Linked DNA regions of Diceros bicornis minor. The protein of the gene in region 1 interacts with the protein of each later gene in a biochemical or structural test. Links are inferred from orthologs where the notes say so. Each region holds a gene or a part of one and is shown in the gene's direction. Other genes may lie near its edges.

The links. The genes of interacting proteins can lie anywhere in the genome.
Region 2: the proteins of NPPA (region 1) and NPR3 form a complex in vitro, tested with the Homo sapiens proteins (4 studies listed by BioGRID, with this or other methods). The link is inferred for Diceros bicornis minor from reciprocal best matches to the Homo sapiens genes NPPA and NPR3.

Annotation. Positions count from the first base shown.
Region 1 is NC_080752.1:30,965,921-30,972,854, reverse strand, and holds NPPA (natriuretic peptides A), read left to right. Parts: upstream 1-4,662; 5' UTR 4,663-4,665; coding exon 4,666-4,788; intron 4,789-4,889; coding exon 4,890-5,216; intron 5,217-5,746; coding exon 5,747-5,758; downstream 5,759-6,934.
Region 2 is NC_080759.1:35,664,354-35,672,398, reverse strand, and holds the start of NPR3 (atrial natriuretic peptide receptor 3), read left to right. Parts: upstream 1-4,509; 5' UTR 4,510-4,515; coding exon 4,516-5,272; intron 5,273-8,045. UniProt on the Homo sapiens protein: Receptor for the natriuretic peptide hormones, binding with similar affinities atrial natriuretic peptide NPPA/ANP, brain natriuretic peptide NPPB/BNP, and C-type natriuretic peptide NPPC/CNP.

The DNA of each region.
Region 1 (6,934 bases):
CCTCGCCAAGCAGGATCGACTGGCCAGGAGAGATTGCGAAGCCAATGCACGGGTTTCATGGGTGCACTGGACAGCAGTCTCCAGTTTCCTCGGCCACTGCCTGAAGGAACTGGGTAGCACAGCCCAGAAGTGCAGGGGAGCTCACGGCCCTGGTAGGAGTGGGGTGAGGGTGAAAGCGACGCTTTGACTAGTGAGAGACAAGCGGTGAAAAGGAGCCTACAGATGCAGCGCTTGTTACAAGTTCAGTTATGTTCCCCTAAAAGACGTGTTGAAGTCCTAAACATCCAGAGCCTCAGAATGTGACCTTATTTGGAAACAGGGTCATTATAGATGTGATTATTTAAGATGAGGTCATCCCGGAGTAGAGTTAGCCCCTAATCCAATATGACTGGTGTCCTTATAAGAAGAGGAGAAAGAAACACAGAGTGGAAAGACAGCCAGGTGACGACAGAGGCAGAGGTTGGAGTGATGCCTCTGCCAGTCGGGGGATGCCAAGGACCGCCGGCGGCTACCGGAAGCTGGAGGAGGCAAGCGAGGATTCTCCCTCACAGATTTCAGAGGGAGCATGGCCTTGTGACACCTTGATTTCAGACTTCCAGCCTCCAGAACTGTGAAACGATACATCTCTGTTGTTTTAAGCCCTCCAGTTTGTGGTACTTTGTTACAGCATCCCTAGAGATCTAAGGCAGTTCCCTCATCTTTTTCTCTCCTCACAGGCTGTTCCAGGGTGCCAGGTTCCAGGAAGCTCTCTGGAGATGTGCAGCGTGACCAACCAACCACTAAGGTGTTTTTGCAAAGCTGTGGCCGGCTTGGTAACGTATCACTTTGTATCAGCTCTCCTCTTTCCCCACCTGTGGTGGGCAGCCTCTCAGATGGCCCCTGATAATCCCCATCTCCTGGTATTCATGCCCTTGGGTAATCTCCACCCTCTGGGTGTGGGCTGGATCCAGTGACTCACTTCTAATGAACACAGTACAACAAAAATGAGGGGATACCACTTCCAAGATGAGGCTCCAAAGAGACTGTGGTTTACATAATCTCTCTCTCTCTCTCTACCTAAAGGAAGTCAGTTGCATCTCTATGGAGAGGCCCTTGTGGAAAGGAACTGACATCTCCAGCCAACAGTCAGCGAGGACCCAAGGCTTGTCAACGGACACAGGAGTGAGCTTGAAAGCAGATCCCCCAGCTAAGCCTTGAGATGACCGCAGCCCCAGACAACACCTGAATGGCAGCCTCTGAGAGCCCTGAGCAAGGGGCACCCGGCCAAGCAGGGCCAGATTCCTGGTCACAGAAACTACTAGATAATAGATGTGTGTTGTTTTAAGTTGCTGAGGTTTGGGGCAACTTGTTATGCAGCAATAGTTAACTAATACACTATCTCACTTCCTTTTTCCATCACTCTTGCTTCCCTTGAACTGGAGCCCCCATAAAGCTTTAGCAACTTGACTTTTCCTCAGGCTTTTTTTCTAGGGAACCAGCCCCTGACTTCCAGTCCAGTGATCTCCATATTGTACCAAAGAAACACAACATCATTTTCAAAGTCAGAAACAACAGTCCCTAAGTACACACCAGTGTCCTACCAGTTTCTCCCAACTGGGGCTTCTGCTTTAGACCATCTGGGTGTGACAGATTGTGCCATGAACATGGTGAGCTTTTCACACCAGTTCTGCACATGTGCAACATTGCTGGGACCTTGTGGTTCCCCAAAGCAGCCCCCAGCATCCCCATGGAGGGTTGTGAAACCAAAGTGGGCTAGAAACTGGAGACACCCCAGTTCTGGATTCATCCACCCATCTGCAACGCTCATTCCATCACACGACTAAGATGACTTCTTCCCAGCGATACGGAAAGAAAGGCTTTTGGTTTTTCATCTGGTGGGAGAGGTGGGGGTGGGGGCGGATCTGGCTTCCTGCGTCTTTTGCTTTTCTTCTCTCTCACTCCTACAGGCTGGCTTCTAAACACCCCTTTAAATATTAACTCCTCCACACACACACCCCAAAGTTGAGCAGGGGCTTGGAAATGAAGAGAAACTTTACATCAAGCCATTTTCCATTTCAGGCTCAAATCAAAGGCTTTACTGGGATTTGGGGTAACAAGTGTATTTGGGGGTTGTCTGTGTTTTCACTGGGTCCAGTTAGTGCAGGAGGTGGTGCTGGTTCTTCACAAAGTCCTCAGCAGCAAACCTGAATGTTCTTTTTTCTTGTCACCGCCCTTCTGCAAAACAAAAAACGGAAAACGAAAAAAACCCCAGCTAATAGAAGAAACTCAACAAATGACACTCACGGCCCACTCCGGTTTCACTCTAGAAGAGGAAAAGTGACTTTAATAAAAGGAGGTGGGCAAATTCTGAAAGTCCCTTTCTGGAACCTGGGGCGGGACTTCCGCTTCTCCTCAGGCCACCTACAGACTTCAGAAGTAGCTCAGGACAGAGGAGCAGCATCGGCCCTCAGAGGCCAAGCCAAGGCAGGGGCCACCCGCCACGATACCCTTCTGGAAGTCTTCGCCTGCATCAAAGGCCAGTCTCAAAGGGCATCTCCAGGAGACAGGCTGTGTGACGCAAGCAGCAAGGAGCATCGGTTCCCCGCAGCGTGGCTGCTCACTGAATCCTCTTTGCTAATAATAACCCTGCCAACCGAGCAATTAAGCTGTGAGCACATTCCAGGGATTCGTCAGGATACGATGGTTTTTTGCCCCGGGAGCGCTACCCAGAATTGCACCCACCTTGGATTTCAAGTTGAGTTTGGCTGACCCAAATCAGTGACTGAAGAGGGCTTCTTTCTCCTTCTTAGAATAAAATTGCCCTGGACACCTCTTGTGACCTCTGGCCACGTTCTGCCCTGGTTTCCTGCCCTCTTGCCGTATAACAGCCTTTCCACCTGATCAGCCAGGGAGTCAGCTCAGCTAGGGAGGGGTCTGGCAGGGGCGGAGATGGATGTTCCACACGCACACAGACCTGCCAAGTACACGAAGTTGCAGCCCCGAGGCAGGGGGCAGGAGAAGGAGCTGCTCAGAGTCACCCTGAGAGACTGGGAATGGGGGTGTGTTCAATCAGGGACTGCCAGAGGGCTTGTTAAGAGACCATCGCGCTACGCAGCAGCAGTGTCTGTGAAATGGGTGAGGACTGTGTGTATTGGTGTCATACCTGGGTGCAAGTCCTGGTTCTGCCGCTTATGAGCTGAGTGACCTTGGGTAAGTGACAAAGCTCTCAGTCTCAGTCCTGTCCCTCTGTAAATGGCAACAAGACCACCAGCTCCTGGGGGTGGTGACAAAAATGAAGTAACCACATGAAGCTCTCAGCTCAGTGTCTGGCACGTCACAGCTGACCAATACAGGCAAGCGCGATTACCATCTCGCAGTTACACAGCACTTCACACTTCAAAATGCATCCACACATTACTTCTGAGCCTCAGGATAACCTTAGGTTTTTTCACTTTCCTCATTTTACAGATGAGGAAAATAAGGCCCAAAGACATATGCAGCTTGGTTTGTTTTGGGCTACAATGCAGGTCTCTCATCCCTTCAAATTTAGTGTTTTCCCCCAGCATACGCTCTGTTGAGTAGCATGCTAGGGTTGAGTATGTGCTTAGCGAATGGAGGCCACTCATTAAATGTGGCCTCACTGCCTGTTATTTCTCTTTTGGGGGCCAGGAAAATGGAGGCGTTAAGGGAAACTGTGTTACATTCGCCTCCCACCTCACTCCATCAGCCAACTGGCCATGGGAGCTTTCCAGGAAAGGGCAGGGGAATTACAAGCTTCATACTCAAAGAGTCTGAGTTTCTATAAGCAGCAAGTTGAAGAAACGAAAATGCTGCATCCTCTCAGTGTCTACCTCCCTCAGCACCTTGGAGGGGGGTCGTGGAGGGGTCGAAGGAGGAGGAGCTTTGCAGAGGAATGATTGTGTTCCCAAAACTTTCCTTGGTGTTGAAATTTGGGAGCCAAATTCCTGGGTCATTCATCACATTTGGTTCCCGGCTGACTTAGTACTCTAAAACATAACGCCCTCTTCACCTGACTGCGGAGAGTGACTGCCAGAAGGCCAGCCCTGGTGGAGCGAGAGGGCTGCCCTCGCCGCTGATGAGTCAGGTGTGAGGCCGGCTAGAGCATCTGGACTAATTTGTCCCGAGCTGCCGGCTGCCTGCCATTTCCTCTTCTCCCGCCCTTATTTGGAGGCCCTGACAGCTGAGCCACAAACCAACCGGGGGAGCTGGGTGCCCGCCAACTGTCACCCTCTGCTTCCCGGCATGAGTCCCGTTGCCGAGGAGAAAGGAGCCCGAGGCATCGCTGTGAGATAACCAAGGACTCTTTTTTGCTCTTCTCACACCTTTGAAGTGGGAACCTCTTGAGGCAAATCAACAAGAATGTGGCTCTTGCAGCCGAGGGTCCCGGGGGTTGTTGGGGCTGCTCAAGGCGGAGGGGCTGTGACAAGCTCCGCTGGACTGATAACTTTAAAAGGGCATCTTCTGCTGGCTCCTCACTCAGCTGCTTTATCGCTGCAAGTGACAGAATGGGGAGGGTTCCATCCCTCTTGCGTTCTCGGAGAGCCGGGGGCCTATAAAAAGAGGAGGCGCAGGGCAGCTGGGAGACAGAGACGGACGAAGGCCGAGAGAGGGAAACCAGGGAGGAGAGGGAAGAGGCGGCGAGCACCAGACCACTCTGTGACCAGCATGGGCTCCTTCCCCACCATCACCACAAGCTTCCTTCTCTTCCTGGCATTTCAGCTCCCGGGGCAAACCAGAGCTAACCCCGTGTATGGCTCTGTGTCCAACGCAGACCTGATGGATTTCAAGGTAGGGCTGGGAAAGAGGGCACACTCTGGGACCAGGGGGCTCTGTGACATTGTGCCCGTGGGTGAGACCTCTCCCTTTCCCTGTGTTTTCCTTTTGTAAAGAATTTGCTGGACCGTTTGGAGGACAAGATGCCCTTAGAAGATGAGGTCATGCCCCCACAAGTACTAAGTGAGCAGAGTGAGGAAGGTGGGGCTGCTCTCAGCCCCCTTGCTGAGGTGCCTCCCTGGACCGGGGAGGTCAACCCAGCCCAGAGAGATGGGGGTGCCCTCGGGCGGGGCCCCTGGGACTCCTCTGATAGATCTGCCCTCCTGAAAAGCAAGCTGAGGGCACTGCTCGCTGCCCCTCGGAGCCTGCGGAGGTCCAGCTGCTTCGGGGGCAGGATGGACAGGATTGGAGCCCAGAGTGGACTGGGCTGCAACAGCTTCCGGGTAAGAGGAGCCGGGGATGGAAATGGGATGGGGAGGAAGGAAGTTAGGAAGTTGTGGTTTTGTTGAGGCTCAAACCTTGTCAAAGTATACCACCAGGGGACGCCTTCTGCCGGAAGGGACCAGCATAGAAGCTTACTCCCTTTGAAATTTCTGCGCCAACTTGGTGGGTGCCCCATGAATCTTGGGACAATGACATCATCCTCAGCTACAGGCTGCTGAGGAAATGCTAAGAAAAAAAGTTATGCCACGAGCACTGGGCACTTTAAATGTTCATGGGGCAAGTTGCCTTCGCACTGCTGATTGGCAGTTCATGTTCCTCTCCAGATTCCAAATTTGTCAGATCCCAAAGGATTGAAATTGACCAGGGATGACCTTTGAGCTCCTAATGAGCAACTTGTGTACCAGTTCATGAAACTCAGGGAGTTTTCAGGCTGGAGTGGGGTCTATGGGAAGTGACCACAGTCCTACGAAGTTGATGTTTCCAGTAGAGCCAGGTCACCAAGTCAAACATGTCTGTGTTCTCTTTGTAGTACCGAAGATAACGGCCAGGGAGGACAAGGCGGGCCAGGCCCCGGGCAGACTGCGAGAGACCCTCATCCCCCGGGGTCTCTCACTCAACTTTGTCTCATCTCATTGCCCTCAAGCTGAGTTGTGACGAGCACCCTATTCAAGCTGCAGCCTTCTGTCCACATTTCTCACATTTTATGCTAAATGTAGGTAAAGTGGCTTAATTGTGGCTTCCCCACTTCTCCCACCCTATGCATTAAATTTTAGGGCAGACCCTCACCCGTTAACTGGAAGCCATTTGAGAAATGAATAAACTTCAGCACCACGGACAGAAGCCGAAGGCTCGGGTTGGAGTGATTTGTTTCGCTTCCCGGGAAAGAGAATTCAGCATGATTTTCATTTTACCTTTTGTCCCAGAGAAGAATGTTCAGTTTCTTTCTTCCTCCTTCTTAAAAACAATAAAATTTATTTTTTGGAGAAGCTTTAGGTTCATAGCAAAATTAAGCAGAAAGTACATAGATTTCTCATATACTCCCTGCCCCCAACACATGCCCAACCTCCCCCACTATCAACATCCCCACTAGATGGCACATTTGTTACAGTCTATGAACCTGCATTGACACATCGTCATCACCCAAAGTCCATACCTCACATAGGGGTTCACTCTTGGTGCTGTACATTCTGTGGGCTTGGACAGATTCTTCCTCCTCTCATTCTTTCCTCCTTTTTTTGCGGGGGTGGGATGGGGTGGGGCTCACACTGCAGTTCTCTGCCTGCTCTGACTCTCGCTCCAGCTTCATCACAGATCCTGAAAAAGCCCCAGGAGACCAAAAGGGCACTTATTTTTATTCAGATTTGCTCACATTCAAGGCACTTATTTATTAAAAAGAAAACTTACAGACATCTTTTTTTTTTTCTGGTTATATCTAATGTAGCTTGTACTCAATAGACAATTTTTGCACAGCTAGTACTTTTGGCTACAGTTTTTATTTTTATTTTTAGAAGCAACTTTTAAAATGAGGACACTAAAAATTTTCTGACACATTTTGAGAGAGTTAGCTGCTGCAACAGAGCGACCTGCACTTTACTTTTAAGAAGATGAGGCAGAGCATTAAAGCTGAGCAAAGTGAAGACAGAAATGTTTGCTATGCTGACAGACTGCAAGTTTATGTGCCTTTGGGGCACTAACATATGTTTAAAAAAGAGCCATC
Region 2 (8,045 bases), on another chromosome or scaffold:
CTCAACACTCATTGATTTACACAAATGTTCTTAAATCATGTGTAATATTCTTTCATCTTTTCTGCCTCTAGGGGGAAGTGTGTTTTCAACAATTCTGTCCCCAGAAGGTATTTTCTTTGTGGGCTACAGACTTCACAGGGGTATTCTTCAACGTGACTTCAGCGCTGGCTTAACAAGGGACAAGAGATTCTCTTTGAAAATCTGGAAGGGCTCTTACTTTAGAGGCTGCTGCCAGGATTCTGAGGGAGAAGGTCATACGGACCACGACAATTGCTGGAGAAAACTTCTGATAGCATTTCTAACACATTTCAAAGAATCACATGCTGAGGTGCCCTATATATTGCCATCTTTCCTGGTGGCAGAGGAATAACATATAGACACCGGTTTCATTCCACAATTGGAAAACAAACCGTTGAATACTTGATAGAAAACTTGCCACCTTATTTTAGCAACTTGAAGTTAAAAAAAATACGATTTGTGGGTAGCGATGAAAATATTTCTAAATGCTATAAAAAGTCTATTAGTTTCATCACATTTAGGGCTAACATTACCCTTCTTTTGGCTATTTTTATTTTATTTTACAACATTTCCCTGTAGCTTTCTTTTGTTTTCATTCAGCAATTGTAGTCAGAAAGAATGCACTCAGTGAAAAGGTTAGCAATCTTTTGAAAACATTCAAAAGTGCCCCCCCTTTTTTCCATTTCAGTGTTTTATAGAATCGAAAGGAACAATATTTAAAATTGAATCTAAGGCATGTTATTTCCATTTGTTTCCTTTTTTTCTTCTTTCTCCCTTTGATTCATCTTTATGATTATAACGCTGCAAAAATTCTATTATAATCTATTAGTAATTTTCTTACTGTGCTGCATATCCTCAAAACAGCTTCATATAAAATAAAATCTTGATACAATGAATCTTATCTCTTAATGAAAATTAGCTTTGTTCCCAGCCCTCTTTTACATGGTATAATAGGCGGTACATGCTTTATTTCTAATCCAATTCCACTTAAAAATATTCTCAGGAGATGAAGAGGTATTTAAATACGCCATTTATAACCTTTGGCCTAGATTCTTCACGTAGAAAATGAAGGGTGTCAGGTTGGGTGACTTCTAAGATAATTTCTAGTCCTAAGTTTGGAGAACTCCATGATATTCATAATATTTACACAAACTTTCAACTTCTTGGGAAAAATCTAATTTGACGGGAAGCAAACTCATAACACTAAAATCTATATACTTATATTACTTGGTGGGTCTTCCTAGAATCTTGTGCTTATTTTCATTTGAAAAACAAAAAATAAAACTTAATTTCTATAAAATAAATGTCATGGGGATAATGTACAGCATGGTAACTATAGTTAATAATACTGTATTGCATATTTGAAAATTGCTGAGAGTAGATCTTAAAAGTTGTCATCACAGGAAAAAAAATTTTGTAACTGTAAGGTAACAGATATTAGACTTATTGTGGTGATCATTTCGCAATATATACAAATATACAATCATTATGTTGTATACCTGAAACTAATATAAGGTTATACATCAGTTTCGTACCTCAATTAAAAAAATCCTAATTTCTGCTCATTGGAAAAATTTAAGGTGAGCTTTGAGCATCTGCAAAAGCCTGTAACACTGGCTTTTCTGGTTCTGCTGTCTAGTTTGGGGGTTCTTCCCTTCCACAGCTTGGTTCGTCGGTGCTCTTGAGTGACAAGCTGGAAGCTGAGAGCTCTGGTCCAAAGGCCACCGAGAGGCTGCGATACTTACTGACACGTAAACGCTCTGCCCTGCCGGTGACCCTCGGCGCGGCTGGGCAGCGCCTGGAAGGGGAGAGGCATTCATGCCTGGTGCCACTGAAACCTCAGACTCTCCGAATAAGCCCACGCTACGCAGTGTGCAGAATCATATCGCCATTGGCCGGTGTTCCCCAGACACAGGGCATAGCGAGTAGTAATAGGAGACCCTGGTTCCTTCACGTCTCCTGGCAACTAGTTTTGAAATCCATTAAGACCCTTGGAAGTCGAGATTTAGCTGTTCTTTCCTTCTCCTTCCTTCCTTCCTTCCTTCCTTCCTTCCTTCCTTCCTTCCTTCCTTCCTTCCTTCCTTCCCTCCCTCCTTCCTTCCTTCTTCCTCCCTCCCTCCCTTCCTTCCTTCCTCTCCTCTTCCCTCCCTTCCTTCATTCCTCCCAGGAATTTAGGGAGGATTTAATTGCTATGAAGCTCTGTCTCAAATTCCAGTGTGTGCAGATTACCCTCTCTGTGGAATTAAATTTTATACAGATGCCTCTTTTGCTACTGATTAGCAGCTCTAAATTAAATAAATGAAAGTTCTCACAGGAGTTAGACTGTCCTACCTGAAGATTCAGGGATCGCATTGCATAATCTGAAATCTAAATGACCCAGACGATGAAACGTTACCCATAATTACATTAACCGTGCCAGAAAGAGCGATAAGGAGGGTGCCGTTAACGGCGACCAACGCTGATGCCTGAAGTTGCCACATCTCTGGAAACTCCAATTTGCCTTTTCACCGTCACAAATGAGAGGGATTGCTCTTTGAGGCCTCGGCTTAAAAAAACACGAAAACAAAAACAAAACCCACAAACGCAGCGCCTGGGGAGGTGGCATCAGGGATACAAGTCGGCTGCAAGTTTCTGCCGAAAGAGGGCGTTGGTCTAAGACTAACAGAAATTTGCGGACAGGGACGCCCAGTCAAATGAAAGACCTTTTAAAAACATTTTCAATTTATTTTAATTTGCGGGACTTAAGTGTCAGAATTCTCCCGTCCAATATACCACGTTCACACTGCAAATGACCTCGGTGTGTTACCACGTTCAGAGGGTCAAGTTCCATTTGGACCTGCCCTGAAGCGCGCGGACTCCAGCGAGGCTCCTCTGGCCACGAACATCCCCACGGCCGTTTCCATCCTTGTCTCCACTGCTGTTGTGGCTGTGACCAGAGGCAGGACGGGGTCTCGGACGCAGGACCTTTCTCGGCACTGCAGAACCCCGAGCATAGCGTCTCGCGCGCCCGCGAGGAGAAGCAGTTGGATTTCCAAGCGCCGGGGTTGCAGCGGAGCGTGCGCCTGCATCCAGGGGACCCTTGGGCTAACCATTTAGGGAGAAAGTCTCTTTATTTAGTTACCTGGTTTAGCAAGCAAAGCCCAGAGGACGGCTTGGAGATGCTTTTCAAGCTTTTTGCCACCTCCAGAAGCCGAACCGTTCGCTCGCCTTTGGGAGCAACAAGTTTCGCTTTTCTGCTTGCAATGCGCCGGCGGAATGTCTGTGCGCGGGGACTCTGGAGTCCCCGCAACGCTGGGACTCCAGCGCGAACCCACTCGGCCCGGGGGGAGGACGCCGGCGCGGGACTGAGGAGGGCGGGAGAAGGAGGGGTGCCAGTAAAGCCTCGGCAAACTGGGCGTTCCAGGTCCGTGGTCTAGCCGTCTGCCTGGGACCTTGGTCCCTGTTCCTTGACCTTGCGCCAGGGGACCGAGGAAGGTCGGGTGCCTGCCCAGAGATGGCGCGTCCGGAGGGAATGTGGCCAGAGGGAGAAAGAGGTGAGAGAGAGTAGGACCTACGGATTTTTGCAAAGAAACTACCAATTTCTAGGACCACCTCCTGTCTCTAATCCTGTTGGTTTTTTTGCACGGTGTGTGTGTGCCTGAGCGCGTTTCTTTACTTTCAAACATTTCCTTTTTTAAAGCACGGAACTGGAGAGAGGGCTGCCGCGTGCGGGGCCGGGGAGAGGCGAGGACCCCGGAGGCGGTGGGGTGCGGTGGGGGCTCCCGGCCGTGCCGAAGTGGGCGACTGCGGCTTTAAGGAAAAGGCCGAGGTCTGGCAGGGAGAGGGGGTTAGGGACAGGGGAGGGGTGGGACCGGTAGGAGTGCGGGGAGGAGCCCTGATGTAAGAATGTTAATGAGAGGCTCCCCCAGCCCAGCCCCCACCACTCCCCACCCCCACCCACCCTACCCGCTGGAAATACAACCCCGGCCTCGGCGCGCCATGTGTGGTAACACGCTCAGCCGCTGCCACGCTATTTAAACGCGGGCTATGGATCCAGGAACCGGCACGAATCAATGAGATCAAACGCGAGGGAGATGCACCGTCAATTACAAGCACTTGGACAAGTCTAACTTTTTTTTCTTTTACAAATATGCTTTCAAAAGCAATCTTTGCAACGCCCAAATAGGAAGCCACCTCTAAGCAAAATAGTATATATATAAGGAGGGCGAATATATATATTTATAATAAGTATATATATATATAAATATATTACAGGCGTACAGGTTTACACCCGGTGAACTTTTTCTTCTTTTTCTTTTTTTTTTTAAACGAGTGAGATTGCAAAGAAGGACTCTTCCTCTCTATCTTTTGGCAAGTTAGTGAAGGGGGTGTTCTATTTTCTTAGAGCGCCCAAAGGGGCGCAGGGACCTGGGAGAGAAGAGTGGGGAGGAAAGAAGAAGGGTGGGTCGGGGGCAGAGGGCGAGCCGGCAGCCAGGGCAGGCGCTTTCCTGCGGCACGATGCCGTCCCTGCTGGTGCTCACTTTCTCCGCGTGCGTCCTGCTCAGCTGGGCGTTGCTGGCCGGCGGCACGGGTGGCGGTGGCGGCGGGGGCGCGGGCCCGGGCGGCGGGCGCCGGGAGAGAGAGGTACTGACGCCGCAGAAGATCGAGGTGCTGGTGCTGTTGCCCCAGGACGATTCGTACCTGTTCTCCCTGGCCCGGGTGCGGCCGGCCATCGAATACGCGCTGCGCAGCGTGGAGGGCAACGGGACCGGGTGGCGGCTTCTGCCACCTGGCACGCGCTTCCAGGTGGCCTACGAAGATTCAGCCTGCGGCAACCGCGCGCTCTTCAGCCTGGTGGACCGCGTGGCGGCGGCGCGGGGCGCCAAGCCGGACCTTATCCTGGGGCCGGTGTGCGAGTACGCCGCGGCTCCCGTGGCCCGGCTTGCATCGCACTGGGACTTGCCCATGCTGTCGGCCGGGGCACTGGCCGCCGGCTTCCAGCACAAGGACACTGAATACTCACACCTCACGCGCGTGGCGCCCGCGTACGACAAGATGGGCGAGATGATGCTTGCCTTGTTTCGCCATCACCAGTGGAGCCGTGCCGCGCTGGTCTACAGCGACGACAAGCTGGAGCGGAACTGCTACTTCACCATCGAAGGGGTCCACGAGGTCTTCCAGGAGGAGGGCTTGCACACGTCCGCCTACAATTTCGATGAGACCAAAGACCTGGACCTGGACGACATCGTGCGCTACATCCAGGCCAGTGAGCGAGGTGAGCAGAAGCGTGCTCCTGTCCCCCGGCCCTAACCCAGCCGCTCTCCGGGGCTTTCCCTACACACTGCAGACCCCACTACCCTCTGCGACACTGAAGACCTGGGGAGGGGGCGCACTGGGACTCGCCCGGGTGCGCGCTGCCTGGCTGCGACGACCTTTGACCACCACCCCCTGCGGTCGCGGGGTGTACGTAGAGGGTCCTAGGGAGGTGGTGGAGCCTGGGGGAGGGGCATCTGAGCCCGCAGCTCCCGTGTGCCCGGGTCTGACAGGTGCCATCAAACTGCCTGAGTTTTTTCTTCCTCGCTTTCCCTTCACCGGCGCCGGTCTGGCGATTAGGGACGCACTCCCGGTGCCCTGCTCCAACCAGGGTCTGAAAGCGTGCGGAGGCCGAAAGAACTTGTTACCCAGTCTTTTTCCGACGTGCGGTCCCTCCTAGGGCCGAAGCGTGCGCGGACACCCTACAGCCCGCGCGCCGCCACTTGGCTAGCCGGGGTATCCGGGTTTCCCGGCTGCTCCTTCCACAGATCCCAGATTCTTTTAAACGCTCATTGTATCGCCCTTCTTATTCCTTCCATGGCCCCTCCAGCCCCTTATAAATGAGCTTCTGTGGTTTGCACCAAAAATGCCTCGCTGTGTCTGGACTCAGGCGACACTGACTTCCTCCAGCGCGTTTGGCGTCGCGGTCTCTAAAGCGCCCGGAGCCAGGCTTTGCAAAAGCGCGCGCTGGAGAAGCAGGCGCTGAACCTCCTTTCCACGTGACCCCAAGTTTTCTCCGCGGGTCTGTGGGGGTTTGAATAACCACCAAACTGGACAAAGAGTTCAAGGATGAGGATGGTGGCTATGGCTACAGGGAGCGGGAGGAGAAGCGGGTGGTCGCGGATATGTAATCGCAGAAGCTCCCAGTGCAGCCCATTTTACTGTGGAGTGGACTACCGGAAGGCGGGCTGAGATCCCAGCATCGCGCAGTTCCCGCCTTCCGGGCGTCAGGTTTGGGGTGCACAACACTCGGGGAATCTCGCCTCTGCTTCCCCTTGGCGCGCACGCGCCTGGATTGTCGCTGGTGCAATCCCGGCACAGCTCCCCCCGACCCCACGCGGGGAGACCCGAGGGGAGAGGGGCCGAGCCACGACTTGGCACAGCCGGCACCTGGGCGCTGGCGGTGGGAGACAGCGCAACCGGAGGCTGGCTGCCACTGGAACAGGTGAGAGTGGGCTGAGGCGTCGTGGAGGATGGCGCTGCGGCCGTCCCTCTTCCCAATTTGGCCACCTCGGACTCGCAGTGAACGCACTCTTTACAGCGAGAAGGCAGAAGGTGTTGACAGTGGGGATGCATGGCCAAGTTTTAAGCGTTCGAACTCCAGGCTGTCTGCGCCGAATCCCTGCCAGCCGAGCAGGCGGGGCGCCGGCTTTGCTGATTATGAAAAAGGGCACTTGTATCCCACGGCTGCGGACTCGCCACGCCCGGCCGAGAAACCCACATCTACTTCTCTCCCCCGTCGCAGTTCCCAGGTTACTGCAGACCTTGGGCTGCTCTGTTCCCCTAGAACCCGATTCTTCAGTTCTCGGCTGTGGGGGCCTGGAGCTAGGAGTCGGTGACTTCCCTGGAGGGGCTGGCGATGGGGGTGTGTCCCCCTGCGGGCGAGATCCGCGGTCTGCCAACGCGTCTGTGCTGCCCCTGCGGTGAAGGTCTGGATGCCGGCCGTGACCCCTGCACACGTGGCCTGGGATTCACTGTTAGCCCAGATGAGGGCAGATCTCGGCCACCGACGGTGTGGCTGAGGTCAGGGGCTAGGGAAGGCGTCAGTGCTCTGGTGGGCCGGGGGACTTCAGAAAGCTTGGGCCACAGTCGGCTGCTGCTCATAGTTTATTAGTTCCAAAAGCCTCGTAGATTTCCCAAGTCTCTTTGCTTTTTTTTTTTTTCTTATAAGTTTGAATTTAGTGGTGAAAATTTGCTTGGCTGACTTGTATGTTTTACAGGTGATAAGGTTACTGTTCTTACTCTAAAATATATTTCCAACAATGACTTGGCAGATGTTCAGAGATATATAAAATATAAAATAGTTTCTCCCCTAAGCCCGCTGCCCCCGAAATTCCCTACTCTCTGGAGAGAAAGTTGCTTGATAACAAAGCTCTTCGAGCATCTTTCACCTTTTATTAATCATCATTACTTCACTATAAGCAATTAATGGGTTAAACAGGGGTTCAGTACAGGGGTTCAGTGGAGTTGGACTTCCAGAGTGCCTGTCCTGGCTCAGGCATTTATTGGTGAGGAAGCTTGGGCTGTTACTTAACCTCTCAGGCTCAGGCTAGCTCAGGCTTCTCAGGTGAAGTGGGAGTAGTCCCAGCACTCCCATCTTGGGGATGCTGGGAGGATTAAATGAGCTAAACACACGGAATGTGCTGAAACAATGCCAGATGCATACTGAGTGCTCAGTAAGTGTGAGGTCTTATTACAGTTGTTATTATTTTATATATATGATGATAATCACGGTTACCAGAAGGTGAGGGCATGCCCTGGCGCAAGACTCCTGGGGTGATAAGCAGATGTTCTGGATTTGGGGTCTCCACTCAGCTGCTGCATGGCCTGTGCAAGTCACTTACCTTCTCTGAGGCTGAATTTCCTCCTCTGTCAAACAGTGAGGTGGATGACAATCAGGCCTCTTCAGAGTAAGTTAGGTGGTTCTGATTTGTGCTCACTCAAGTGTAAAAATGTAACTGACCCTGTTTTTGTCTTTGAAAATTGCATATTAAACATCACAGAACTAGAGAGAT